Linked DNA regions of Macaca fascicularis. The protein of the gene in region 7 purifies or fractionates together with the protein of the main gene of each other region. This does not show direct contact. Links are inferred from orthologs where the notes say so. Each region holds a gene or a part of one and is shown on either strand. Other genes may lie near its edges. The genes, in order: YES1, EXOC7, AP2A1, UBASH3B, DNAJB11, NCL and EGFR.

Region 1 (4,676 bases), on a different chromosome or scaffold from region 7:
TTTTAATTTTGTAAAACCTGTGTCTTCTCTCAAAATATTAAAACAATTAACTTACTAAAGAAAACCAAGTAGAACTTTATTTAGAAATTTTTTCCCAACAATTCTCTAATTATTGTACATTTAGGAGTATTTGACTTTTTTTTTTTTTTTTTTTTTTGAGACAGTCTCACTCTGTTGCCCAGGCTGCAATGCAGTAGCACTATCTCAGCTCACTGCAATCGCTGTCTCCGGGTTTCAAGCAATTCTTGTGCCTCAGCCTCCCAGGTAGCTGGGATTACAGGGGTGCACCACCACACCCAGATAATTTTTGTACTTTTTAGTAGAGATGGGGTTTCACCATGTTGGCCAGGCTGGTCTCAAACTCCTGGTCTCAAGTGATCCCCTTGCCTCCGCCTCCCAAAGTGCTGGGATTACAGGTGTGAGCCACCATGCCCAGCCTGACGTGTTCAAAGTCGTTATACATACTAGCTGGTATATGACAATTATGATTTAACAAATCTATTCCTATTTGCAAAGGATAGCCTAGGTAGTGTTCTAAAGTCAGTCACCAAATTATGTTCTTAAACCAAGCACCTCATATAGTACATTATACACTGGATTCCTTAAAAAAAATTCATGTAAAATAAAACATAGAAACAGATTCTGCATACAGACGTAGGGCTTAATGTATTACACTAAAACCAATACCCTTGGTAACTCCTATCAGGTTAAAACAACTTTGTCACCACTTCAGAAGCCAGGTCCCTATCACAATCTCCTCCCTCTTCCTATATATTTCCTTTCATAGAACCACAGGTATTCTATGCTTCTATCTTTACGTTCACAGAAATTTCCTTGCAGGTTTTTTCTTTTTTAATTACCCAAGTTTGGGCGACACCAGAGTTTAGCATCACTTAAATTTTTTTGGCATTAGTCTTCTTTCTTACTATAATGCTAATAGAATAACTGATGCCTACACTGATGTTGTAAAGAAAAACTACCCATAGGAATAAATTATTTACTGTCTTAACATGATGCAAATTTCAACTTTGAGTAAGTCTTACACCATTGGTTGATAATATTTCGCTTATACAGGTTTACTTCTAGTCTTTTAGCACATTTATTCTTTTATCAATACATACCACGAAGGAATTCTACTTGCATAAACAATTTTTCAGCTTGTGAATTTCCTGAACTAAAACACACACAAAAAAACGCCCATGTATTAATGTTATATACTTCGACCATAAGACAAATTCCACCTAACCCAGGAAGACAGGTCAAAGCTGTAATTTCACTTTCAGATGAACAGAAAGGAATCAATTTTGTGGTTTATGAAGTCAGCAAAACCTAACTGCGAAATTAAAGCTATTATAACATTACGGTGGTTACAACAGAGTATGTATTTTAAGAGCCCTTTTATCTTTTATCCTGGAAACATGGATATAAACTGTTTTGTTTTCAGATCAAAGGCAACTGTCTATTTCAAATGTAGGACCCTCTGAAATGTTAACCAGCATTTAAAATCTCCACCGACTTTTAGCTAATGTCCAAAAATTAAAATACAATTTAACTTCCTTTTCTTACATGTCAATTGTGGCAGGGGTCTCACATTTATAAGCAAACAAAAACAACAAAACCATATATATTATTTGCTAAAGTAAAACTTCCTTACTGTACAATATATGAAAATCGTAAGTGATGCATACAAGATCCTTGGTTAATACAAGATACTCCTTTATTACCTGACCAAAATGCTTCCTGTCCACCGTGTGCCAAGCACTGTGACAGTTATTAGATTTACCATGCACTTTTCCTTAAATGCAGTCATGTGTATACATTTAGTAATATTTTCCTTAGTGAGTTATTTAACTTTAGAAATTTAACAGGATGGTTTAAACACATTTAAAATTATCAAGACATCTTTGGCACTAATCTTACAATTATAATACATGAAGATACTATAATCATATTATATACACGTGAAATCAACTATGTGAAAACACACATCCGTGGAACGTATATACATAATAAATGGTATGGACATAAAATTGTGCTTCCACCAGACTTTATTTCCTTTAATAATGTACAAATTAGACCGTATGTTATTCCACGCCTGTATCAATTAATTATGCAGAAAATAATTCAACCAAATCCGAACTGTTAAGTCCTACTCAAAACAAAAACTAAAGTCCCTACACCAGACTTGATTTTCAAAGAGCTTCTTAAAACAACTCTGCTCCATGCCCAATAAAGTGAAAGCTGGAAGCAATTATCAAGAAGAAAAACACACTTTAAGACAAAATTTTCTTTAACACATGTGGACAGGGAACCGAACGCAACGGGAGGCGGAGTGGCATGAAAAAGTGGACGCTGAATGGTAAATTTCCCAACCCCCAATCCAAAACAAAGGAAAACTTTAAACATGTTGCGGTTTTCAATCAAACCGAGTAAAGCCCGAGAGGCTCACCCACTCGCCCCACACACCCTCTCCTCTCCCCGCACAGCTGCTACTGGCGTCGGCCGAGACACAGACCCCCAGCCTTTAGGACCGAAAAGGGACCGCTTCCCTCGCCCCCACTTCGGCCGTGTGGGCAAAAATAAACCTCGCCTCCACGCCGCCGGGCTGTCCACACGACCCCAAAGACAAGCGGTGGAGAGTGTCCCCACGCCCCTGGGACCTCAGGTCGGACTTGGGCGGGACCCGGCAGGACTGAATGGGGCAGAGACCAAGTCAGGGGCGAGCAGGTAGCGCGGGGAACGAGACGAGCCCGCGGGGCGAGCCGGGGGAGGGGAGAAGTTTCTTCCCAACTTCCCGACTCTGGCCCGCGGGGGCGGGGAACCGCGGCGGTGCTGGCGGCTCCGGGCGCTGGGGCCTAGCCCTGTCCGTGCCGGGGTGGACCCCTCCGCCCGCGGGGCCCCACCCGGTCCTTACCTGTCCTCCGGCCGCGCTCTCATGAGTCGCTGCTGCCGCAGCTCGAGGTGGCGGGAGGGGACGGAGGGCGGAGGCGAGGCCCGCGGGCCCTCTCCCTCCTCCACCTCCTCGTCCCGGGGCGCCCGGCTGCAGCAACCACTGCAGAGCCGGCCCGGGACGCGTTGCTTCAGGACGAGGGAGTTCCCTGGCTCCCCACCCCTCGGCCTCACTCTCCACCTCCTTCCCCCGGCCCCGCCCCCTCACTTCTAGCGGGGGCGGGGGCGGGCGCGGGGCGGGGGCTGCGGCTACCTGCGCGCGCCGCCGTCCGCTCACCGGAACTCGGGCCACGCCGGCCAGGCTCCAGGGCCCCCAGCCTTCCGGCGCTTACGCCCCCGCCAGGTCCCCTCCGCGGGCTCTGGGCCGCTTTGCTGTGGTCTAGGTATGCGACCGGTCCGTGTCACTTCTCCCGACCCAACATGGCGGCGGGGTCCGGGGCGGATTCCCGGGGGCGGTGCAGGCTGAGGGGGCGTGAGGAGGAGGTGCTTCCCCGCCCGGAGAGCAGGCCCGCGGCGCCCCTTCCCAGCCGCGAACCCACCGACGCTCGGCTGCCGCGGGGATTGAATGGGGCGCCCCGATTCCGCCCCTCTGCCTTTCTCTTTTCCTTGGCCCGGCTCTCCGTAGTGCCCAGGGCTTTGGGGCTTGTTTTTGCGGGGGAGGACGGGGTTGAGTTTTTTTGGCTGGCTGCTTCTCAGCACTATGCTTCCGCACCCTTTGTCGTTGGTAGTAAAATCTCAGCCCAACCGCGTGAGCCGGGGGCGTTACTCACACTCTCGTCACTATCCAGATGCCGTCCAAACAACGTTCACGTCTGGCCTCCTTCCGAGGCAGGGATCCTGTCCCTGCCCCCAGGAGCTTCCTGTTAACTGTAGGTCGAACCAGCCTTGCCGGGAGGGGAACCGAAGCTGAGTTATGTTTGGCGACTATCTCAGTAATGGTGGCTTTGGCTTATGTTGGGACAGCGTATGTCTATATGCTGCTGGCGGCAGCCCAGTGAGGGAAGTGCAACAAGTATGGTTATCCTGCTCGAAAGCTGTGGAAACAGCGACCCCGAAAGTGGAGGAGCCAAGCTGGAATCGTGTCGGTCTGAAGCCGCGCACCTTTCCTATGAGCCTCGTACCCAGTCGCTGAAGAAGGGGGAGGACCCGGAAGGATGGGGTGGGGGCGTTAATCAAGGTCCTCATGAACTGACCCTTGAGGCACTTCTGCTGCAGTCACTTCTGCCTTGTCAGACTTTCGGAGTAACTTCCTTTCTTTATTTCCTCTTTGGTGGGGTTATCAGAATAGTTGTGTGACTATTGGTTTCCTTTGCGGTTTTTAGTGAAATTCAGAATCATCGACAGATACGAAATAGTACAGTCATACGTGTCAGTATTTCGGTGTTCTAGGAACTTAAGGAAATGCACATAAGGGTTTGAACATTTTTTTTTCAGCTCACTAAATGAACGAAAGGTAGGCATAGGCATTAAAGATACACATAATGTGGAACGGTGCTGTATTTTCTTTAGCTACTAAAACTTCATTTGTCTTTGACTGTCTCAGGGTTGTAAAATTTTATGTAGGTCTATATTCAGCTTTTATTAAAGTAGAAAATTCCTTGAGCTGTTGAGTTTCTTCACTAAATAGAGATGTCTTTGTCTTCTTAAACACTCAGTCTAAAAACCAGCTCTGAAATACGCCGGGCACGGTGGCTCACACGTGTAATCCCAGTATTCTGGGAGTCCCA
Region 2 (3,911 bases), on a different chromosome or scaffold from region 7:
CTAGGCCTCCCAAAGTGCTGGGATTATAGGCGTGAGCCACTGCACCCAGCCTTCTTTCTTCGAGACAAGAGTCTCACTCTGTCACCCAGGTTGGAGTGCAGTGGTGTGATCTCAGCTCACTGCAACCTCCAGCTCCCAGGCTCAAGTCATTCCCCCCACCTCAGCCTCCCAAGTAGCTGGGACTGCCGGCATGTGTCACCACACCCAGCTAATTTTTATATTTTTTGTAGAGACAGGGTTTTGCCATGTTGGCCAGGTCTTGAACTCCTGAGCTGAAGCGATCCCCCCACCTCAGCCTCCCAAAGTGTTAGGATTACAGGTGTAGCCACCACACCTGGCATAAATAAACATTAACAGTGCTCATCTTTGGGTTATGTAATGGAGGCATCGCGGAAGTGGAAGATGGACTTTTATTTTTCACCCATGGCTTTCTGTACCATTTGAAAATTTTACAACTAATCAAAAAAGGCAAATGAACATAAAAATCAAGACAAGAAAAGTTTGAATTTGCCTAGATTCACAGCTTGATATATAAGTCATAGAATGGTTGCTTATATTGGTTCCAGTTAAACATCCTTTTATCAAAAAAGCCACGACAAGTGGATTAAAGAATAAAGGCAGCTGGGCACGGTGGCTCACGTCTGTAATTCCAGCATTTTGGGAGGCTGAGGTGGGTGGATCACCTGAGGTCAGAAGTTCAAGACCAGCCTGGCCAACATGGCAAAACCCCATCTCTACTAACAATACAAAACTTAGCCAGGTGTGGTGGCGTGCGCCAGTAATCCCAGCTACTCAGGAGGCTGAGGCAGGAGAACCGCTGGAACCCGAGGTTGCAGAGGCCGCAGCAAGCCGAGATTGCACCATTGCACTCCAGCCTGGGCAACAGAGCAAGACTCCATCTCAAAAAAAAAAAACTCACTCTGCCTCCAGTGTGCCACGTGGCCGAGTCAGAACCTCTTACCTTGGTTGCGGCCGTATTCCACCAGCCAGCGGGAAATGCGAATGACATCCTGCAGCACGCTCTCGGGCAGGTGCTCCAGGGTCACATCCTCTTGGGCGTCCAGATCATCATCACCACTGATCAGATCCAAGATGAGCACAGGTGAGACGACCTTACTGTGCCGTGTCATCAGGCTGCGGAATTCAGACTCCAGGGCCTCCTTCCCGCGCTCAAAGAGCAGTTTCTGCAGGGACAACAGAAGGAAGCGGGTGCCTGCTGCTTCAGTGCTCTGCCAGTCCTGGCCTTCCCCTGCCTGTGCCAGCTTGGTCTTCCTAACTCAGGGCCTCTGCCCTTTTCTGCCCTGATACCCTTTTTTTTTTTTTTTTTTTTTTTGAGACAGAGTCTCGCTCTGCCGCCAGGCTGGAGTAGTGCAGTGATACAATCTTGGCTCACTGCAACCTCCAACTCCCTGGTTCAAGCAATTCTCCTGCCTTAGCCTCCCGAGTAGCTGGGATTACAGGCACATGCCACCACACCCAGCTAATTTTTGTATTTTTAGTAGAGATAGGGTTTCACCATGTTGGCCAGGATGGTCTTGATCTCCTGACCTCAGGTGATCCACCTGCCTCAGCCTCCCAAAGTGCTGGGATCAGGCATGAGCCACCGTACCTGGCCTGCCCTGATATCCTTTAACCCAAAGAAGAAATGTCAGGAAGCGGCCTTGGTGACTCCTTTACTTCATATTCTCTCAAAATTTGTGTTTACAGGTAAAAACCAGGGTTTTACAAGAAGTAGGTGCTTAATAAATACTGGCTGATTATTTTCTCACTGCACCGTTAATGTGTCTTCTTGTTAGTGGGGGGTTTGCAAAAGAGAATAAATAAATAACTTGAACAGTATCAAATTGAAAACTTCTGTGCTGCAAATGATAACATCAACAAAGTGAGGATAACCCACAGAATGAGAGAAAATATTTGTAAACTACATATCTGATAAAAGACAGGTATCCCAAACATAGAAGAGAATGAATCTGTCCACACGATGACGTGTATAAAAGGGTTTATAGCAGCATTACTCACAAGAGACAAAAATTGGAAACAACCCAAGTGTCCATCAAAGGATAAATGGCTAAAGAAAATGTGGTCTGGCTGGGCATGGTGGCTCACGCCTGTAATCCCAGCACTTTGGGAGGCTGAGGCAAGCGGATCACCTGAGGTCAGGAGTTCAAGACCAGCCTGGCCAACATGGTGAAACCCTGTCTCTACTAAAAATATAAAAAATTAGCTGGGTGTGGTGGTGGGTGCCTGTAATCCCAGCTACTTAGGAGACTGGGATAGGAAAATCGCTTGATCCCAGGAGGCAGAGGTTGCAATGAGCCAAGATTGTGCTATCGCCCTCCAGCCTTGGCAACAAGCGCGTAACTCCGTCTCAAAATACAAAAAAACAAAACAAAACAAAACAAAAAACAAAAAAAGAAACTGTGGTCTATCCACAAAAAGGAATAGCATATGCAAGAAAAAGAAATGAAGTACTGATACACGCTATAGCATGGACTGATCTTGAAAGCATCATGCTAAGTGAAAGAGGCCAGCAAAAAAGGCCATGTATTATAAGATACCATTTATATCAGAAATTCAGAATAGGCAAATCCATAAAGACAGAAAATAGATTTGTGATTTCCAGAGGCCAAGCCACTATCTTGCTCTGATGATCTAATGACCCCAAAACTTAAACACAAAGATACAATGAAGGCAGGTACAGTGGCTAATGCCCATAATCCCTCTCAACACTTTGAGAGGCCAAGGTGGGAGGATCACCTGAGGACAGTAGTTTGAGACCAGCCTGAGCAACACAGGAGACCTCCTCTCTACCAAAAGATTTAAAACTTAGCTGGGCATGGTGGCACGTGCCTGTGGGCCCAGCTACTCGGAAGGCTGAGGCGGGAGGATTGCCTGAGCCCAGGAGTTCGAGGCTGCAGTAGCTATGGTTGTGCCACTGCAGTCTGGCCTAGATGACATAGCCAGATCCTGTCTCTTAAAAAAAAATTAAAAATTGGCCGGGCGCGGTGGCTCAAGCCTGTAATCCCAGCACTTTGGGAGGCCGAGACGGGCGGATCACGAGGTCAGGAGATCGAGACCATCCTGGCTAACACGGTGAAACCCCGTCTCTACTAAAAAATACAAAAAACTAGCCGGGCGAGGTGGCGGGCGCCTGTAGTCCCAGCTACTCGGGAGGCTGAGGCAGGAGAATGGTCTAAACCCGGGAGGCGGAGCTTGCAGTGAGCTGAGATCTGGCCACTGCACCCCAGCCTGGGCGACAGAGCAAGACTCTGTCTCAAAAAAAAAAAAAAAAAAAAAATTAAAAATATATAATGCAAAAAAAAAATCACATAGATTCAAGTTCCTAGAGTAGATTCACAGAAACGGAAAGTGGAATGGTGGTTACCAGAAGACAGAGGAAGGGAGAATGGGAAGTTAGTGTTTGATGGGAGTGGAGTTTCACTTGAGGAAGATGAACATATTTGTGGAGATAATAATGGTGATGGCTACACAACATTGTGAAGGGACTTAATGCCACTGTTAACTTAGAGTTAAAATAGTATATTTTGGCCGGGCACGGTGGCTCACGCCTATAATCCCAGCACTTTGGAAGCCAAGGCAGGCGGATCACCTGAGGTTAGGAGTTCGTGACCAGCCTGGCTAACATGGTGAAACCCCGTTTCTACTAAAACTACAAAAAAAAAAAAAAAATTAGCCGGGAGTGGTGGCGCACGCCTGTAATCCCAGCTACTCAGGAGGCCGAGGCAAGAGAATCGCTTGGGAGATCGCACCATTGCACTCCAGCTTGGGCAACAAGAGCAAAACTTCGTCTCAAAAAAAAAAAAAATTTATATTATGTATTTTTAACCAAAATAAAGAAACAACAAATACATTTATAAAAATCAAATGTGGCTGGGTGCAATGGCTCATGC
Region 3 (2,922 bases), on a different chromosome or scaffold from region 7:
CACCTCTCCCTGGCCCCTGCCTGCTTCCCTCCACCCACCTCATGCAGTGGGGCAGGTGGGCTCCTGGAAAAGGCTACTGGAGCTCCTGTGTTTCTGCCGTGTTTGCCATGTGTATTGCTAAGAGGATTGCCTGCAGCTGCACAGTTTCCCCAGGAAAATGGGGGCCAAGGCTGAGAAAGAGGAAGAGGGTGAGCTGAGAGCATCATGGTCTTCAAGTTGCTGACAGCTTGCTAGAATCCCGAGGCCCTGCCCTGGCAGAAGGCTCCCAAAACCTGTGCTCAGAGACCCCACGCGTTCAGAACTTGGGCCCAGGATGTGGTGTGGCTTCCAAAGGTTAGCATGCTACTTGTCACCTCAGTCCCCCCGTTCTTTCCCCAGAGCCAGGGCCACCAGAGAAGACAGAAGATGAGGTCTACCAGGCCCAGCTGCCCAGAGCCTGCTACCTGGTGTTGGGGACTGAGGAACCAGGCAAAGGAGTGCGTCTGGTGGCCCTGCAGCTGGGGGTTCGGCGGCTGCTGCTGCTGCTGTCTCCCCAGAGTCCCAGCCATGGGCTGCGAAGCCTAGCCACCCACACTCTGCATGCCCTCACCCCACTTCTTTGACTACCTAGCAGTGGGTGATGGACACAGACATGGGGCTGTTAGCGTCTCTCTGTTTATTCGCTCACAATAATACACAGCCCCTGGATGGGGAGGGGGTAGGAGGGGCTACAACAGGGTGGGGTGGGAGGGGAGGAGGCATCCACTTTCCTTGCCCCTCTCCCCTCTGTGCTTGGGAGGGGGGAAGGGAGGGAGGGGGCTCCCCCTAACCCCCCAGAATGTAAACAGCAGCAGATGAACAAAAATAAAAATACAAAAGGCCGGAGGAAGGTCCCAGGCATCCCCCAACCCCTGGCGTCTTCTCTGTCACCAGTGGAGGTCCCCCATCCACCAAAGCTGCCTCAGTCCAAGGGGCTGCCCAGTGCCGGCCACATCCCCGGGGGCAGAGTCCAGGGCTCAGAACTGCTGTGCCAGCAGCTCACACAGGTGACGGGAGACGGGCTCCTTGCTGGTGCGCAGGGTCAGCCGATACATCTGGGTGGGGACATTGGGGGCAGAACTCAGAGAAGATGGGGAGCCCAGGGAAGTGGGGACACAAGGGAGATAGAAGAAAGAAGGATAAAGGGGCCAGAAAAGTGATACAAGACACAGGAGAGGAGAATGTAAGAATGAAATCAACGGAGGAGCCAGAAAGGAGGGAAATTATAAATGAGAAGAGAAAGGTGGAAACGATATGGAAAGGTAGAAATCAGGGAGGGACAGGAAGAGGAGAGGAAGACCAGAGGTTGGAGACAGGAGAGAAGATTGATGGATAAAGAGGAGGAAAAGTGGACAAAGATGCGAGAGGAGGAGGGTCAAAGGGGGGACGTGAATTGAACAGTGAGGCAGGAAGAGTGGGCACAGAGATGACAGGTGGCCTTCCTGCCGACCTCAGGCCTCCCACAGCAGCACTTACCTGGGCCTGGGCGTTGGGTTCCAGCCGGAGCAGACAGCCCACCTGCAGGGCTTTAGTCTGGATGATCCCTGCCCCCACGAAGTTCTCAGGGTTGGGGTCCACATTGTCCAGGAGAGCAGAGCCAAACCCCAGAAGCTGGGAGGGAGGGGGGCCGCCGTCAGAGAGTGCCAGAGCTGTCAGTTACCACACAGTGGCATCCCAGATCCCAAAAACCCTTGGGGATGGGAATTGGCCCCACTTTACAGATGGGAAAACAGAGGCTCAGAGAAGCAAAGCAGCCCTAGGCCAGCAAACACGCCCGCGGTCTCTCACCTTGGCCTTAGTAACTTCTGCGTCCATGGGGTGGTTGGCTTTGAAGATTTTCTGCGCCTCCTGTTGAGGGCTGGGGACCGGGAAGGTTCAAGTCAGGGACCTGGACGGCCCGACCCGCCCACCCGGAGGCGCGGCTTTGGCGCCGCCCCCTCCCCACCCCTCACAGGCTCAGCTGCTTCCAGCGCTGGAAGAAATCCTGGGCCGCCATCTCTGTGGGCTGGAAGAACTTGTTGATGGTCACTGGGAGCTTCAGGGTGAGGGCCTGGGGGGTGCCACCGTACCTGGTGGAGTGAGGGGGAGGCTCCGTTAGGCCCCGCCCCTCGCCCCGGAGGCCCCGCCCACTGGCCGCGCCGCACCTCACTTACCGGAAGCGCACGGACAGCAGCGGGGGCGTCAGGAAGTCCCGCAGACACTCAATATTGAGCACCTGCTGCACCTGCGCGCCGCCATCCACCTGCGCCGCCACGCGCTTGGTCTGCACAGCCAGCTGTGCCCGCCAGCGGTCAAGGAAGCCAGACAGAGGCGGCGGGCCCCCGGGAGGTCTGGGTCAGGAACCCCAGAGCTGCCGGCAGCTCCCGCCTGCAGGTCTTTGAGGGACCCCATGGTGCAATCCTGGACTCAATCCTACAAGGTTCAACTACAAAGTTCATACTATGGAAACCTCTGAGGCGCCCCCTAGGTGCCTCCTTTGGCCTCCCACAATGTCACACCTCACTGAGACATAATAGTATTAGCTCTGGAGGCTGACTTGGGTTTGAATCCCATCTCTTACCCACCTGAGTGGCTGTGGGCAGCCACTTAACCTCTCTAAGCCTCTGGACATGTGTAAGATTGGGCAACATGGCAAGACCCCATCTCTACAAAAAAAATTAGCCAGGTGTGGTGATGTGCACCTGTACTTCCAGCTACTTGGAAGGCTGAGGCAGGAGGATGCCTTGAGCCCAGAAGATCGAGGCTGCAGTAAGCAGTGTTCGTGCCACTGCACTCCCGCTTGGGTGAGTGAGGCCCTGTCTCAACAAAAGGACATGTGTAAAATGTCCTCAGGAGTTGATGAAATAATCCAGCCGGGTGTGGTGGCTCACGCCTGTGATCCAGCACTTTGAGAGGCCAAGGTGG
Region 4 (3,911 bases), on a different chromosome or scaffold from region 7:
TGGTCCCTGCTTAGTTATCGTCATATTGCATGCAGTCCAGTTGTTCTGTGCAAATTGAATACATAAATGCCTTCTGGTAGTGAAGAGGTCTACTTAAGGTTAAAGGATAGAAGACTCAGATGTAGTGTCAAGTTCTTTGTTGGCTTATTTCTGGCTCATTCATTTCTTTGGTAGAAGTAAACAGTCTAATCCTGTTCCTTTTAGTTTTCCTTCCCATGAAATGAGAATGGAGATACCTGTAACTCATGCTTCCACAGATTTTAGGGTGAGAGTTGAGTATCTTGGTAGCAATGATGCTTTTAAAGTCTCTCCAATTAAGTAAAGAAAAAATGATGATTAAGATTTGAGGCTCCTAGGAGCACCACAGGAGGCAAACAACAGATCAAAACAGGAAAGTTATTTGACTATTAAGTGTAAAGAAAGGATCACACTCTATAAGCTCTAAACATTTTGCAAGCCTAGGATTCATCCAAGAGCGCTTTAAATTCTCAAAGAAAACATGACTAGTATACTTCCTCTTATTTCGCTTAGGCTGCCAGAGTATGTTTTTGTGACTTGGGCAAAGATCGCCTTCTGAAAGAATCCTTGCTTCATTCCAAATTCGAAGCTTTCAACTGGCAAATGTCCCATGATTCTAAGATAATTTATGTGTGGGGCTGCCTAGAAACAGAGGGATGGACTACTTGTTTTTGTCAACCTGCAAGTCTTACCTTTCAAGATATTGTGTGCAGTCTGAACGCAGCGAAGGGACGGGGAGCAATAGACATGATCGATAATGGTATTGCTCTCTAGTAAGGCTTCGCCTGCAAAGAAAACCACAAAAGAATCAGTCTGATGGATTTACTCAGTCTCACCTCGATTCGCAGTGTGAGAGGGGGCCAAGCAGTAAGCCCCTGTAAACCCTTCTTTCCTAACTGGGGCTCACATAGAGCCAGTAGTGTCAGCCTTTGTTAGTTTCTAACAAAACCCCTCATCGGTGTTCCTGTGAGAGCAAGTGACAGAGCCCTTCTTGCCTTTTCTTTCCCTTCCCTCTGGTGCTAACAAGTGGTAAAGCCTTTAGCTAGGAGATATTAAGAAACAGGACAATACTTTGGCTTCAAGTTTGTGAAAGAGGATTTATTTTATGAATATTAGGTCTTGTTTTAATTTTATTCTGTGCTAACCAAAATCTCAACATGTCATATTCTTAGACACCAGAGATAAATCCCAACACCTCATACTTTAATGCTATCCTCATAAAATCCACTTCTTTAAAAAATTTATTATTCTTCTTAATTTAATTTTCAGAGATAGGGTTTTGCTCTGTCATCCAGGCTGGAGTGCAGGGGTGCGATCATACCTCGCTGCAGCCTCAAACTCCAGGTCTCAAGCAGTCCTCCTGCCTCAGCCTCTCAAAGTGCTAGATTGTAGGTGAGAGCCACCACGCCGGGCCTGGAAACCAGTTATTTTGTCTACTGGATTAAATCCGAGCACCTTAATATGGTGATCAAGGTCTTCCATGAACTTGCCTTTATCCATCTTGCCAGCCTCATCTCTGCCTTGCCTTGCAATTTATACTCTAGACATAAGGCACTTTGTTTCCCCTGCATTCCTGAGGCTGTTTCTCAAGCCTCAGACACAGTTTATGTGGTCCCTCCCACTGAGAATGCCATTTCCTCACTCCTGCTCCTTCTTTGCCCAGCTAACTTCCACTTCAGCTCCCAGCTCACCTCTTCACCTCTTAGATGTCTTTTTGTGTTCCCATAATATTTGGTGACCACGCATAGCTCTATGTATATTATATTGTATGATATTTATCCACACATAAGTTTGTTTCCCTGACTCACACTTGGGTTCCCTTAGTCCAATACCTTGCACAAGGTAAGTGAGCACTACATATCTGCTAAGTGACTGAACAGGAAAGTACTATCTCCCCGCGGCAGTAATGGAATGGGCTTGCAAAGAGCTGGGCATCTTCAAAGGATCAGTTGGCCTTTATAAATTCAGCAAGTCCAGGTCCGTCTTCTTCACTCTTGTCCTCTTCCACAGCCATGCTGGCAGATGCTGCTGTCTTGAACTAGAGGCTGACCTGTCTGCTACATCCAACAGTGAGCACAGTAACCCAAGCCATTACTGGATCACGAGGTCCTCAATAAGGACCACACCTCATTCACTTTGGTCAACCAACCCAGGGCTGAGCACAGTGTCCTAAACTTAATGGTTGTGTAGCAAGTTCCTTTTGAATTGAAGAAATTTATTACTTGTAGGAAAGTTATAGAAGCCCCCAGGAAGGGTCCCGCATATCCATGGTACCAGCGTTTTGAAGGAGGCGGCAGGAAATGCCTGGAGTATAGTCACTCCAGGATACTTACCCACTAGTCTCGCTTGCATGCATCCAAACACAGTGATGGGAGCATCTTTCTCATAATCTCTGAAACCACCACTCCGCTGAGGTAAACTATGAGGCATGTTCAGGTTGCTCCGTATGTAGCGGCCTGAAAAATAAAAAAGTTAGACAGAGGATACATACATTTCTTGTTTACTTGAGACTCCCTTACTGATCCTGACATTCTCCACCCCCATTCCTTCTTGGCCAAAGAGATCACATTGAGCTCTCTGGAGCTGATGGAAAATATCAAGGCTGATATTTTGTTTCATAAAGTGACTTGGAATTCACTCTTCCATTCTACTGACAAAAGTGACATGAGGTAGTTTCTCAGTGAAGGTAATAACCATGCACCCTAAGGCAGGTGAGATTCCCTGGTCAGGCAAGCCTCCGTGTCTTCAAATGCCACTCAAGTGAAAATGGAACCCAGCGAACCCGGGAGGTTTAATGGCAGGAGCTCTGGCCATGGGATTAGGGCACGTTGCTGCTGCTGACTTTGCCATGTGGCCTTGGGCAAGACATCTGTCTTCTTTAGTCCTGGCATCCAAGTTTATAGAATGGGGACAAGAACACTTACTTCTTCCCTAAAGCTCAAGACAATCAGGAGGGGCTTACGGATAACAGACATTTTCTATAGTACACAAAACTATAAATGACTCCATCCGGATAACCGTAGCTTGACTGTGCCCCCTAGAGGCCACTATGGGTATGGCAGTGCTGAGCAGGCCCACCAACAACTCACCTTTGGCATCGAAGCACTGGGATAGCCAGTACTTCCCAAACACAACATCCATCCTCTCACCATGCCGACACACAAAGAGGCATCGCTTCTGGGGGCCAGGCTGGCTGTTGACCCTCAGCGGCTACAGAGAAAGAAAGGCTATTAGTGAAGACTCACATGGCAAAGTGGACATGTCTTGGAGCCAGGTGCCAGGTGAGCTGAGCTCTCCTACCAAAGTTCTGCCAAGGTGTGACTAGGTGAGGACAGTAAGACTCATCCTACAGACCTCATAAATTATTTTGAGGCTCAAATAAGATAAACTGCATGTCTTTATAAAACGAGGAGGGTTGTGAAAAGGGCATTATTGTTGCTACAGCTGCCCTGTGTAGGAGTAGCATTTGGCCATTACTAAAACATGCTGTACACTTTCAGTTACAGCTCAGAGGCAAAACTAGCCATTCATGTAGAGACAGCCATCTAGTGGGACATCTTCCCCCGCCCAGAAGGGGCGATTCATCAACTTCTTCAGGGAGTGAGGGCTTCTGTGATCACAAATGTGTCTACCTTTTCTCTAAAGTGTGTGGCCAGATCGCATGGTCCTCATGGTCCACTCCAGCAACGAGACCCTGTTTTCCTATTCTAATCACAATGTAGGCTCTGCTGTCTGACTATATGTATGTTGGTGATCCCCAAAATGAGACAACTGCTACCTCTGGGTGATGACACAGGCAAATCGAGTCAAAGGCTTGTCCAAATGACTTTGGCTTCTATAACTGCTGGATGGAACCTTACAGACGTTTCTGCATTCCTTCTTTCTGATATAGT
Region 5 (3,911 bases), on a different chromosome or scaffold from region 7:
AGGAGTCATGAAAAAAATAACAACAAAATGTATTTAAAAACAGACTTCTCCAGTTGGCATTTTGAATGAAATTGCTAACAACTCCAACCCTCTATGTGTGTTTCTTTTGCTCCTGGAGTCCTCTTGCAGCTTTAATTCTTGAAACTCAGGCGGCAGCACCAGACATTAAATCCCCAAAGGGAGAGGTATTAGTAAACCTTTTGCTGGTCATTCTTTTCTGAATGCAAATGGACAAATTCTTAAGCCCTCTTATTCATTTCATGATGATCATTAGACAAAAAAAATTAAGCCAAACTTGCATATTGAAAATAAAAACAAAAACACACACAAAAAAACCCTGTAGATAATAAATATCGCCGATTCACTTATTTTAAACAAAGTCCAATTTTATTCACTGTTAATATCCTTGCAGTCCATTGTATACCTTCTGCACTGACCCTTGTTTCAGTAGCTGTTTGATACCTGAAGAATGAATGAACAAATGACTCCATTAACAAAAAAATGTTACTTTCCTAGTGTTTAAAGAGCATATTTCAAGAAAAGGCTCATAAAAGGCCTTATGACAAACATGGATGTGAATTAAATAACTACCAATCTCCAACATAATCGCATGTAGGTAATCCCACACATGCACATATGTTTCCAGGATGATCCCTTGTCTCTTTTAGGCCCACATACCACATACATGTCCCACAAAGCTCTGCAAAATGAGGAATGAGAAGAGGCAATCAAAAGGGAAAGAAAACTCTTCAGTTAAGTCTCCCATTCCTTCTTCTGTATCCTCTTTTCAGTTTTTTCCTCCTTCATTGCTCTCCTTTCTCTTACTATTTAGGACCCCGAGTGGGGCCCTCTTCTCAGCCAGTCATCCTAGACATGCAACCATAAGCTCCTAATCTTTCTATTGTCTACCTCATCTTCCCTTTTACAGAGTGGTCCAGCTCATTTGTTTTAAGGGATTCTGTTTCATTCCCACATACTCTATCACTCCCTAGGTTTCGAAGCACAGCTTACACAGACTTTTGTAACACAAAGATGTAGGATTTTTAACATATCGCCTTTACAAAGTAAGATGAGTTCATTCCTATGTTAGTGTTCTACTAGCATTAATGATTGATGTCTTGATGTCTCATGTCACTGGAGAGTTCTGCTTCTATTGCCACCCTTTTCTCATCACACACACACACACACACACACACACACTCATATGCCATACCTTCTCTTGCTTCCTCTGTTAACTGTTCTTTTGGAAAATCCACATCAAAAGTGATTATCAAAGAGCCCTTGATATTATTGTTGTCAAAGTTGGGGAGCCCTTCCCCTTTCTTCCATAGCTTCGCTCCTGGCCTGGTGATCTTATCCCGGGAAATATGTACCTAGGAAACAAAAGGGAACGCACTGCAGCAGGAGCGGTACATCTGAAGTACATCATACAGCTTCTAGTGAGCACTGGTACACAAAGCTAATGTCACAGCTCAGCAAAAAGAAAGAATGAAGGAGCAAAGGAAATATCATTAGGACAATGTCAGTCAAGAACAAAGGATTTTATTAAAGAAGAAAAATCAAACACCAAAACAAGTAAACAAAGAAAGGTTTTCATCAATAGAAACTATAAGGACAAGACTGTCAAAGGCTGTGCAATCCATTCTGAGTAGCTGAAAGGTCTGGCACTGTTATTGCAGGATGCTCAGCAGCAGAGTAAGTACAGACGAAGAATACGACTGAGAAAGGAGTCCCTCTGGTTCTCAATGACTGAAACAGCTGATACATCTCAAAACTACCCACATAAAGGCTTCAAAAGGACGGAGAACAAGTAAATTGGTTTGTTTACCTTGTGACCATCCAAGTGAGTAATATCCATCTCAAAGCCAACCAGCGACTCAACTAATGAGATTGTCACATTTGTGTACAAATCATCTCCTCTCCTTTCAAATATTGGGTGCCTAAAAACAGAATAGGTAAACATCATTAATTTCCACTTTAAGTTCAAAGAGTTGTTAGAAAAATCTTGGAAAAAGGTGAACACCACTCTTTCAAACCATAAACATTTCTTAGACATACGTTTGTGTGTAGTATTAATCGAGAATATAAAGTTGTTTAAGTCTTATTAAATGCTACTGTTAAGGAACACACAATCAGCAAAAGCCAGAGTATAAGTAAAACTATAATCATTAGATTATGGAAAAAAGAGAAAGAAAGTTTCTGGGGAGATCATCTTCAGAAATGGGTCTACAGAAGTTTCCTGAGCTGGGCTCACAAGACTAAGTTGGCTGTAGAAATGCAGATAAAATGGGTGGAAGGAAGGGGAAATAGAGTGAGAAGGAATTCTGGCAAAGACAAGGAAGGTGTCAGGTTTATTCAGGAAACAACACACATTCCAGTTTCTCTAAGAAGTGATGATAAAGACAAGGTAGGCAAAGAAGCTGGGGAAAACAACACTGAGATTAAAGAGTGCAGGAAGGAAAAGTCCCAGACAGTGGGCGGCCATTTCTCCCTATTCTGGTGGGAACTCTGTTTTGATGACTCCTTATAGATGCAGAGATATTACTGGTTTCCAAAGCGGTAACAAGAGAGAAATACTAATCAAGAAAGCCGGAGTCCCAGGCAAAATTGTCTAAGCAGCACTTCATGCTGAAGAGAAGCTCACAAAAGAAAAGCTCTCTCTTCACAGAAGCTGCATATTACGTAGAAAGTTATTTCTATGGCAAAGTCTCCTATTCTTGTATGGTGCCATAGTTCTTCAGCTAAAATCTCAGCTTTGACTCCCTATCTTGTTTGTTTCTCTTTTATAACTCCTTACTTATCAATTCTTTCCTTTCAACATCTTTTGCATTTGTAAAGTCCTAAGTAAATAAATAACTGGGGCTCAATCCTAGGGCCCAACCCCAAGCTTTCAGCCTTGTAGAGGAGTTACAAATCATCGTTTAGGGTAATAAGGGTAAGAAACAGAGAAAAAAGTCTCTAACTGCTCTGGTGGCCACCCACACCTCTATAATCTGACTCATCTGAGAAGACCTCTAAAATTAGATAACTTACTTGACAACTTTGATTCGGAACCGTAAATCTCCAGGCTCCCCATCCACATGAGGCTCACCTAGTCAGAGCAGATTACAGCATATTGTAAATCATACGAGTTGAATACCACACATCTATTTGGCAACTGATAATTCTTTTTAATCCACTACTTTGGGCATTGATCTGTCAAATCTGTGGCGGCCGTGTCTCTGCCTGGTTCTATCAAGTTTCAGATTATTAGAAATCATTACCTTTGCCTCAGATACAGCAGTACATAACTTGACCCATTTCCTAAACCAAGAATGATTCACTGGTCTATTGAACCTAAGTCTCAAAGCTTTTTTTTTTATTTTTAGAGTTTTAAACTTAAGTCTAAAGGTGAGGTCCTGAGAACATCTTATTAATGCCAACTAGAGTTACATATCTTCTTTCATTGCTGAGTTAAAATTCATTAAGGTCTGAACACCCTAAATTTTGAGGAAACTTAGGTTACCTCATAATAACTTTTGGCCATGACATTCAAAGGATAAACAGTAATGCTACTGCTTCAGGTAAACAAAAAGTTTTGTATATCCTAAAATTGGCTGAAGGGTATTGGAAATTATATATGCATTTACTATGTGAACATTAAGATGGAGCAAGGCAGGGATGAGAGGTATTCACAAACAAGCAGAGAGCAGAAAGTTATGACAATAAAAAAATCAAATATCAATATTTTACCTTCTCCAATAAAGGGGTACTCCATGCCGTCTCTCACCCCAGGCTCTATTTCTACTTCCAGCGTTCGTTCTTCATTCACTAGTCTGAGGTAAAGACAATTAAAAGAGGAGAAAAATAATGAAAATATAAACAAAACATCAGATATATATATAAAGTTTTATCTATTTTATCAGAGCTTT
Region 6 (3,911 bases), on a different chromosome or scaffold from region 7:
GTTGTGTGTTAGACTTAATTACCCATGAATGATTTTTGTCCCTCCTGAGAAAATTTCAACAGCACATTCTGTGAGTGTTTTTCATAATGTAGGATTTTGTTTCTTAGTGATCTTTTTTGTTTTGTTTTTGTTTTTTAATTTTTTTGACATGGGAGTTATTGCTGTTTCCTAGGCTGGAGTGCAGTGGCACGCTATCTCAGCTCACTGCAACCTCCATCTCCAGGGTTCAAGCAGTTCTGCCTCAGCCTCCCAAGTAGCTGTGATTACAGGCGACCACCACTATGCCCTACTAATTTTTGTATTTTTAGTAGAAACGAGGTTTCACCGTGTTGGCCAGGCTGGTCTCGAACTCTTGACCTCAGGTGATCCACCCACCTTGGCCTCCCAAAGTGCTAGGATTACAGGCGTGAGCCACTGTTCCTGGCCCCAAGTAATCTCTTCTTGCCATGACTATTAACTAAACATGGTGACAGGATTGCATTAGATTTTAAAACCGATGTTGGTTTTGGGAGATTGCTGCAATTTTTAGGTGGCTTATCTTTCAGACTCTGAAGAAGAAGCTATGGAGACTACACCAGCCAAAGGAAAGAAAGCTGCAAAAGTTGTTCCTGTGAAAGCCAAGAACGTGGCTGAGGATGAAGATGAAGAAGAGGATGATGAGGACGAGGATGATGACGACGATGAAGATGATGAGGATGAAGATGATGATGATGAAGATGAGGAGGAAGAAGAGGAGGAGGAAGGTAATTAGATTCTGACATACATTGACATGAGTTGTTTAAAGGAGGCACTTAAGTGTTTGTGGCTATTGATGGGTAATACATTGACATCTTGTCCAGAGCCTGTCAAAGAAGCACCTGGAAAACGAAAGAAGGAAATGGCCAAACAGAAAGCAGCTCCTGAAGCCAAGAAACAGAAAGTGGAAGGTAACTTGCAGAATTAGTGGATGTGGGGGAGATAAACAGCACAAATGATGAATGACAAAGGGACTTAATACTGAAACATGATGTTACATTGCAGTGTGCTGATGTGCTGTGTATAGAAATTTTGCTTTGGAAACTAACTTTTTACCACACTTCACAAGTAGACTGAGTTCAGCTTTTTTTGTATAGGCACAGAACCGACTACAGCTTTCAATCTCTTTGTTGGAAACCTAAACTTTAACAAATCTGCTCCTGAGTTAAAAACTGGTATCAGCGATGTTTTTGCTAAAAATGATCTTGCTGTTGTGGATGTCAGAATTGGTATGACTAGGTAAGTGCTTCATGCGCATTACATACACATGGGTCTGTTAATACTTTTCCTTCCCTTATTAGCACAGTTACTTTAGCCTGCCACTCCTAAACATGAATAGTGTAAACGTTTTCAAGGATTAGCATTAGTGAACTAAGTTAGAATTAAACTATAGAGTCCCTGGATTGCAAATTTCCAGTCAGTCGTAACTTGGTATAGCACAGAATAATCTTAGTAAGTTTTTTTGTCTTTTTTGTTTTGTTTTGTTTTTTATTGAGACGGACTCTGGCTTTCGCTCAGGCTGCAGTACAGTGGCGCAATCTTGGCTCACTGCAACCTCTGCCTCCCGGGTTCAAGTGATTCTCCTTCCTAAGCCCCCTGAGTAGCTGGGATTACAGGTGCACGTCACCACGCCTGGCGAATCTTTGTATTTTTAGTTGAGACAGGGTTTCACCATGTTGGCCAGGCTGGTTTCGAACTCCTGACCTCAAGTGATCCACCCAGCTCGGCCTCTCGAAGTGCTGGGATTACAGGCGTGAGCCACTGTGCCCAGCCTAAATTGGGGTCTTGAGGCACCAGTATTGGTGTTAGGCAGGAGAATCGCTTGAACCTGGGTGACGGAGGTTGCAGTGAGCCAAGTTCGCACCACTGTACTCCACCTGGGCAACAGATCGAGACTCTGTCTCAGTTTAAAATAATAATAATTTGATGTTTATTTTCTTGGAAGTACCTGAAACTATTAGACCTGACTAGTCATCATAGTGAATGCTTTTATCCAGGCAGGATTCTCCTGTATTAGTGCTTACAGGTGTTCTTTTGTCAGCTGCTACTGTGAATTGTTATAAGCAATTTAGCTAATGATGATGACTTCAAACGTGAATGTGCACGTCATATCTCCGTACTGAGACCTTATTCTGTAGCTACAATTTGCAGAGCCTTGACTTTGTTTTGCTAATATTAGGAGTGCTTTTTAAAATGTGATCTTCGTTTGCATCATCACATTTGTCTAGAATACATATTGTGGATTTCAATTTGTGTTTTCATCTGTTGTAATTTTGCCCTTCTCTCCACCTTGAAGGAAATTTGGTTATGTGGATTTTGAATCTGCTGAAGACCTGGAGAAAGCCTTGGAACTCACTGGTTTGAAAGTCTTTGGCAATGAAATTAAACTAGAGAAACCAAAAGGAAAAGACAGTAAGAAGGGTATGTAAGGCTTTAGGATATTATGCAATAAATTCAGGAGCTAGACTGCTAGGGAAAATGCTTTGTAACCCATTTCCCTTGGTTTCCTCTCTTTAAATTTTTTTTTCCCCTTGGTTTCCTCTTAATGTGGGAATTAAATGAGCTGGTGTTTACAAGAGTACTTGGCACTGCTTGCTAGTGTTACAGTGTAAATTCTTGAGTTAGGCAAGCAAGAGCACTTTTATACAGAACACGAATTATTAGATGCACCTAAATTAATGTAAAGGGGTCTTCACTGAAACTAGATTAGGTCCCTAATTACTGTTTGCATCGTTTACTTTATTTCTCTATATACAGTTGTAATGTTGTAATGTTTTAAATTGGTACGTTCACCTTTTTTGTTTCTAAAAATAATATGCATCTACTTCAGGTTGAACTCTAGTGTACCCAGCGGATAGTTTGACATCAGCTGTGACAACATGGAGGGACCACTTGTGTGTTGACACTGCTATATCTCCAAGGCACAGAGCCTTGTACATTATAGGATCTCAAATTATTTGTTGAATAGAGCTATGTCTTTTTTTTTCCCCTCTTTGTTGTTGCCCCCCACCTTTGGTTTTTCAGGCCATGGAGCTCATTTTTGTTTTTTTAATCTAGAGCGAGATGCGAGAACGCTTTTGGCTAAAAATCTCCCTTACAAAGTTACTCAGGATGAATTGAAAGAAGTGTTTGAAGATGCTGCGGAGATCAGATTAGTCAGCAAGGATGGGAAAAGTAAAGGGTATGTTCTGTCTATTGAAATGTAAGGGTTTTCTTAACATGAATACACATTCCTGCTTTATAAAAGAAATGTTGGTTTGATTTTCTTAGGTGTGTAATTTTGGGCAGTTTAACCTGTAAATTTGTGCCTCAATTACCCATCTGTACCATGGGGATAACGCACTCATAGGGTGATTTTAAAAGACAAGGTAATACATATAAAGGAGCAAGAAATGTGCCTAGCTTACAACAAATATTTTGTGAGTAGTAGTTCAGTGAGGTGAGGTTACTGTGAAAAAAATTTTGAGTATTTGTAAAACTGTAGTGGGAAGTAAGAGGGAAGCTCAAGTTTGATTGAAAAGTAGCATAAAACTAAGGGCATTTATTGTATTCAGATCTGAAGCAAGTTCTGTGTTGCTGAGGTATAAAAGCATTTGTGTTAATGTGGTTTTAAAAACCATGAGTTCTTCTCCCTCCATTGCAGGATTGCTTATATTGAATTTAAGACAGAAGCTGATGCAGAGAAAACCTTTGAGGAAAAGCAGGGAACAGAGATTGATGGGCGATCTATTTCCCTGTACTATACCGGAGAGAAAGGTCAAAATCAAGACTATAGAGGTGGAAAGAATAGCACTTGGAGTGGTAAGAAATTAGGCTTGTTACTGGGTTCCAGAATTGATGGAGGGAACTCCTTTGTGTCTTTGTACTTCATAAGTTTATACTTTTTAATCAAAGTT
Region 7 (4,513 bases):
ACTCCATGCTCACTGACCTAGGGATGGAGCTGTCTCCATGGAAGGTGACTGAACAGAGGGCTGAGGAACTCTGAAGGAACGCAGACTGCTGGACAGCCCGCGTTGAAGCTTCAGACAGACCTATCTTCATGAGCCGGCTCCCTGGGCCCTTTCCCCTTGCCAGCTCTGTCATTAGACGTTTGCACACACCTGATTTGGATCTCCTGAAACCAGAACTCGGACAAGGCAGTGGAGTTTGGAAGTTGAGAGAGGGATCTGGAGTCGGAAGCCCCTGGTGTGAGTTTTACATCTGCCTCCTACCAGCGGTGGGAAAGTCACTTTAGTTCTTTGTACCTCAGTTTCCCCCATAGGAGGAGAGTGTACACCTCTTATGCTTAATGTGGGGATTAGGACGCATGAAACGGTGTCTGGCAGTCATTACGTCTAAGAGCAGCAAGTCCAGAAGTTAGCATGTCCCAGAACCAAACAAAACCCTTACTAAACGAAGTGCATCTTGAATAAAATCGACTGAATTTGATAGACACAGGTCTCAAACAAATTTCTGTTAAAAGAGCTCATCTCCTACTTTAATAATTTGCCCCTGAAAATTCAGTCTTTTATGTTACTGTAACAGAATAGCGCCTGTTCACCTACTCTCTCTGTCTTCAGGAGTTTCTGTTTTGAGTGAATACAGGATAAACAGGCAAATTAAGTGGTATTTATATTTTTCTCAGGAACAAATCTCCAATCACTAACAGTGGTGTTCAAGCAAGTAACATCAAAGAATGAGAACCCCACTGGAGGGAGAAAAGTGATGCTTTGGAGGTGCTCTGAGGGTTTAATTTAAAATAAAGAGAAGAGTCTCTTCAGCAGAGACAGGGCTGACACCTGACTAACAGGACCCACAGTCAGCCCCCAAGCAGGCAGGAGGGGCCCTGCAAGCTCAGCAGAGAAGAAACCTTTCCACCAGTTCCTTCAATGAAAAGAGGAATCTTTTATTATTGGAACCACACCCCACCTTTTCCCTCTTTCCTATATTTGGCAACATTGTTAAAATTCCAGATGTCCTCAAAGAGCTCTTTGCATTGGCAAGTAATCTCTCCGGAGACTTTAACAATCCTTCTTCCGTCCGGTGATCCCCAAACCTGGCTCCCCAACAGATCACATGAAAAGCATTAAAAAAAAAATCCCATGTCCAGGTCTTGCCCCATGCCAATTAAATCAGAATGTCTGGGGGCGGGATTCAGACACTGGTTTTTGTTTTGATTTTTTTTTTTAAATCCCAGGTAATTCTAACGTGCAGCAAGGTCTGGGAACCACTGTTCTATGTCTTGCCCCTCCCCCAACGACCGCGCTGGGCACCAAACCCCAACTCCCCATGCCAGTGACATCAACAGCAAGTACGGGCCTGGCTCTTGGAACCCGCGCAGCTCAAGGTTGGAATTGTGCAATTAAACCTTCCGAGGCATGTTTCCCGTGTCAAGTGGGTTTATGGTCAGTAGTCACGAAGCCAGACTCGCTCATGTTCTGTCTGGACACTTGGCACACTTGAACCAGGGACATCAATCCGGTGTGTGTGTGTGTGTGTGTGTGTGTGTGTAAGACAGGTTTAATATTTTGGTTGGCTCAATGTCAAATTCTTCAGACAGCAAAAAGAAACATCCAAGAAAGAAACTCTCCGGGTTTTGAGGAGAAAAGTTTGCTGTGAGCCCCATTTTGAAACACTGTGGTGCTGGCCAGGATGAGCTCTGCTTCCTGGGCTTCCGCACTAGAGGCCGCGATCCCCCCAGCAGTGGCCGGACAGCCGCGTCCCCCTCCACCGCGAAGCCCAGGCGCGACCGAAGGGCTGCAGGTGGGGCAGACCCGGACGTCCCCGCGAGGCGGCCACCGAACGAGAGCCCGGGCCTTTCTGCGCGGGCGCCCGGGAGGGAGCTCGGGTCCCCAGGAGGTGGGGGGCATACCTGGACCGGCAAGACGAGGGCGCGCCGAGTGAGGCGAGCGGCCGGGGTCTGCGCCCAAGGGGCGGGTCGGACCCCACCTGCCTTTTGCCAACGAGGAAGCTCACCGCCGCCAGCACCACCCCTTCCCAGGCGCCGCAGGTGGTGGCGGACTTCTCCCAGCTCCCAGGTTGAGGCTGCGACTCCACACCTGGGAACCAGGATCGCGGGGACCTGGAGAGGGGCCGGGGTCAGGCTGGCCGGCGCCGGCTTCAGTTTGAGACCTGCGCGGAGCGCGGAGGCAGGGAGGTTCGCTCAGGAAGCCGCCTGTCCCGCGGGGTCCGAAGGGAGGCTTTATTTTCGGGGTCCTTCCTCAGCTTCCCTAAACAGCGCAGCCTCGGCGGGTGGGCAGCGCCAGTCCCTCGGGTGCGCGCCGCGACCCCGCCGCGCCCTGGGAAGACAGCGCGGGGCGCACGTGCGGGACCCCGGCCCCAGGCACCCACCCGCACGGGGCTTTCGCCCACTGACGCCGATTCCGCGCAGCGGGGCGGGGAAAGTGAGGGTGGAAAGTTGGGAGCGGTTCGGGGCGCCGGAGGTCCAGGCGGCCGTTTCCCCGCCGGCCCGCAGCCCAGTGCCCCACGCGTCTCCTCCCCCGCCCGCCCCAGACTCTCCTGGCCCAAGAACGAAACGTCCCGTTCCTCCCGCGGTCCCGGCCGGCGGCGCAGCTGATCTCAAGGAAACAGGAAAGGACGGGCGGGGGCGCGGGCGCCGAGCCGGTGCGCCGGTGCGCGGCTGGGCTGGCTGCGGGGTCCGGGGCGCGATCCGGGGGCAGCGCGGGAGCCGGCGAGACACGCCCTTACCTTTCTTTTCCTCCAGAGCCCGACTCGCGGGGCAGAGCGCAGCCAGCAGCGCCAGGAGCGCGGCCCCGGCCGTCCCGGAGGGTCGCATAGCTGCTTCCCGAAGAGCAAGCTCCGGCTCTCCGGATCAATAGTGGACGGAGTCAGGCGGCCGTGCGCGGTGGTTGTGGCGTTAGCGGCGAGGCGGGGACTCGGGCGGACGCCGACGAGGTGGCCTGTCGTCCAGTCTGGGCGGCGGCGGCCGCCGGGGCTAGCTCGGGACTCCGGCCGCTTTGGCCGCGGCGGGCGCGCACACCGTGCCGGGGGCGGAGGCTGCTGCGGCCGCGCTGCGCCGGGGGCTGCCCGGACGTCTAGCTCGCGCGGGCCGGGGCGCGGGGAGGCAGGGCGGGAGGAGGAGGGACCAGGCGGCGGAGGAGGGATCGGGAGGAGCAGAGGAGGAGGAGAATGAGAGGAGGAGGGAGGAGAACCAGCCGCGGGGACCCAAGGCCAGCGGCCGCCGGAGGCGGTGGACAGCGGTGACCCCCGCGGGACCTGGTCTCCCGCGGGAAGGGGGTGGCGCGCGGGAGGGGAGCGGGTGCCCTGAGGAGTTAATTTCCGTGAGGGGCGTTCCCAGCACTGCCCCTCTGGACTGGGTCCCCGCAGACTTGCAGGCCCAGCCTATGTCGAGGTCGAGCCAAATCTGTGCCAGGGTCCCCTTCCCCCTTTCCCTTCTTTTGTTTTACAGAACAAACTTCTACCAGCTTTAGACAGACTGGCCGAGCCCTAGAGCCAGCGTCGAATAATGGCACCGACGGGGAAACTGCTCCTTTATTCTGGTCCTCACCTCCCCTGCAGCACCCAGGGACCCTCGCGGGGATCAGAGGCTGGCCTGGCAGCTGAGGAGGTCGCTGTGCCCGCGCTGCAGGGGTGCCAGGCGTCCGAGGTGGTGCTCTAAAGTCCGAGGGTCCTTCAGATCCCGTGAAGCACCCTAGAAATCGTCTGAAATGAGGGCACCCAACTTTGGGCGCAGAGACAGGCCTCCTCAATGTTTACTGCAACCGGCCGTGGGTACTTTGAAGCCAATGTGTGAAGCACGTTACTTCGCAAAAGTGAGGCTCTTGGAATAAAGGCTTGACACAAACAGCTGTGGAGATGCTTTTAGAGAGGCTAAGTGTCCCACTGCACCGGTAGCTCCCGCAGGAGAAATGCCAGGGAAGTTCGCGAAAGTTTGGCCGAAAGAAACTGAGCTGCTTTAGGCTGCAGGAACTTGAGCTACATTCCTTTGGCAAGTCCACCCCATCCCCACTGTTGCTTCTCCTGCAGTAAGAATGTCCTCTAGGTCCATGTTACAGTCAGACCCCTCCTCTCTTCACGAGATTCACTAGGACCTTCAGGCCTGGTTCAACAACCCTGATCTCCCGGCTCTGTCAAAAATCATAATCCTGAAGTAAGTAGAGCTACAGATCTGCCCTTTGCTGTCTCTGAAGGGGAGCAACCTTGCATCTTTCCTCCGCATCCAGCGAAGTGTTTGTGCCTGGGTTTCACACCCTGCAGCCTGAACGGTGGGTTTTTCACCAGGGCAAGCGCAGACAGACACAAGGCTCCTCACCACCCGTACAACCTGGAACTTCCCTGTGAATTAGAAGAAGTAATTTGTTCCTTTGTTTTAGCGGATCAGTACAGCCACTGTGCGTTGAAGTCAGTCCCTGGATGCAGAGATGGTGAAGGCTCTGCAGGCACGTGTGTGCTTCCTGCACACCT

Evidence for each region.
Region 1: the proteins of EGFR (region 7) and YES1 purify together in Homo sapiens (co-immunoprecipitation; 3 studies listed by BioGRID and IntAct, with this or other methods). This does not show direct contact. The link is inferred for Macaca fascicularis from reciprocal best matches to the Homo sapiens genes EGFR and YES1.
Region 2: the proteins of EGFR (region 7) and EXOC7 purify together in Homo sapiens (affinity purification with mass spectrometry; 3 studies listed by BioGRID and IntAct, with this or other methods). This does not show direct contact. The link is inferred for Macaca fascicularis from reciprocal best matches to the Homo sapiens genes EGFR and EXOC7.
Region 3: the proteins of EGFR (region 7) and AP2A1 purify together in Homo sapiens (affinity purification with mass spectrometry; 7 studies listed by BioGRID and IntAct, with this or other methods). This does not show direct contact. The link is inferred for Macaca fascicularis from reciprocal best matches to the Homo sapiens genes EGFR and AP2A1.
Region 4: the proteins of EGFR (region 7) and UBASH3B purify together in Homo sapiens (affinity purification with mass spectrometry; 10 studies listed by BioGRID and IntAct, with this or other methods). This does not show direct contact. The link is inferred for Macaca fascicularis from reciprocal best matches to the Homo sapiens genes EGFR and UBASH3B.
Region 5: the proteins of EGFR (region 7) and DNAJB11 purify together in Homo sapiens (affinity purification with mass spectrometry; 3 studies listed by BioGRID and IntAct, with this or other methods). This does not show direct contact. The link is inferred for Macaca fascicularis from reciprocal best matches to the Homo sapiens genes EGFR and DNAJB11.
Region 6: the proteins of EGFR (region 7) and NCL purify together in Homo sapiens (affinity purification with mass spectrometry; 3 studies listed by BioGRID and IntAct, with this or other methods). This does not show direct contact. The link is inferred for Macaca fascicularis from reciprocal best matches to the Homo sapiens genes EGFR and NCL.

The regions. Positions count from the first base shown.
Region 1 is NC_088392.1:69,457,102-69,461,777, forward strand, and holds the start of YES1 (tyrosine-protein kinase Yes), read right to left. Parts: upstream 3,107-4,676; 5' UTR 2,938-3,106; coding exon 2,915-2,937; intron 1-2,914. UniProt on the Homo sapiens protein: Non-receptor protein tyrosine kinase that is involved in the regulation of cell growth and survival, apoptosis, cell-cell adhesion, cytoskeleton remodeling, and differentiation.
Region 2 is NC_088390.1:82,527,841-82,531,751, forward strand, and holds part of EXOC7 (exocyst complex component 7), read right to left. Parts: intron 1,185-3,911; coding exon 962-1,184; intron 1-961. UniProt on the Homo sapiens protein: Component of the exocyst complex involved in the docking of exocytic vesicles with fusion sites on the plasma membrane.
Region 3 is NC_088393.1:57,793,069-57,795,990, reverse strand, and holds the end of AP2A1 (AP-2 complex subunit alpha-1), read right to left. Parts: intron 2,297-2,922; coding exon 2,172-2,296; intron 2,088-2,171; coding exon 1,971-2,087; intron 1,877-1,970; coding exon 1,807-1,876; intron 1,630-1,806; coding exon 1,495-1,629; intron 1,074-1,494; coding exon 996-1,073; 3' UTR 639-995; downstream 1-638. Other genes in the region: FUZ (protein fuzzy homolog), read left to right, coding at 379-602.
Region 4 is NC_088388.1:121,593,789-121,597,699, reverse strand, and holds part of UBASH3B (ubiquitin-associated and SH3 domain-containing protein B), read right to left. Parts: intron 3,229-3,911; coding exon 3,108-3,228; intron 2,475-3,107; coding exon 2,352-2,474; intron 804-2,351; coding exon 711-803; intron 1-710. UniProt on the Homo sapiens protein: Interferes with CBL-mediated down-regulation and degradation of receptor-type tyrosine kinases. Promotes accumulation of activated target receptors, such as T-cell receptors and EGFR, on the cell surface.
Region 5 is NC_088376.1:98,531,703-98,535,613, reverse strand, and holds the end of DNAJB11 (dnaJ homolog subfamily B member 11), read right to left. Parts: intron 3,816-3,911; coding exon 3,733-3,815; intron 3,092-3,732; coding exon 3,034-3,091; intron 1,941-3,033; coding exon 1,829-1,940; intron 1,374-1,828; coding exon 1,214-1,373; intron 463-1,213; coding exon 398-462; 3' UTR 13-397; downstream 1-12. UniProt on the Homo sapiens protein: As a co-chaperone for HSPA5 it is required for proper folding, trafficking or degradation of proteins.
Region 6 is NC_088386.1:127,378,787-127,382,697, reverse strand, and holds part of NCL (nucleolin), read left to right. Parts: intron 1-545; coding exon 546-743; intron 744-839; coding exon 840-926; intron 927-963; exon of another isoform or gene 964-1,033; intron 1,034-1,112; coding exon 1,113-1,254; intron 1,255-2,311; coding exon 2,312-2,436; intron 2,437-3,072; coding exon 3,073-3,196; intron 3,197-3,658; coding exon 3,659-3,816; intron 3,817-3,911. UniProt on the Homo sapiens protein: Nucleolin is the major nucleolar protein of growing eukaryotic cells. It is found associated with intranucleolar chromatin and pre-ribosomal particles. It induces chromatin decondensation by binding to histone H1.
Region 7 is NC_088377.1:75,385,886-75,390,398, forward strand, and holds the start of EGFR (epidermal growth factor receptor), read right to left. Parts: upstream 3,126-4,513; 5' UTR 2,865-3,125; coding exon 2,777-2,864; intron 2,550-2,776; exon of another isoform or gene 1,941-2,549; intron 1-1,940. UniProt on the Homo sapiens protein: Receptor tyrosine kinase binding ligands of the EGF family and activating several signaling cascades to convert extracellular cues into appropriate cellular responses.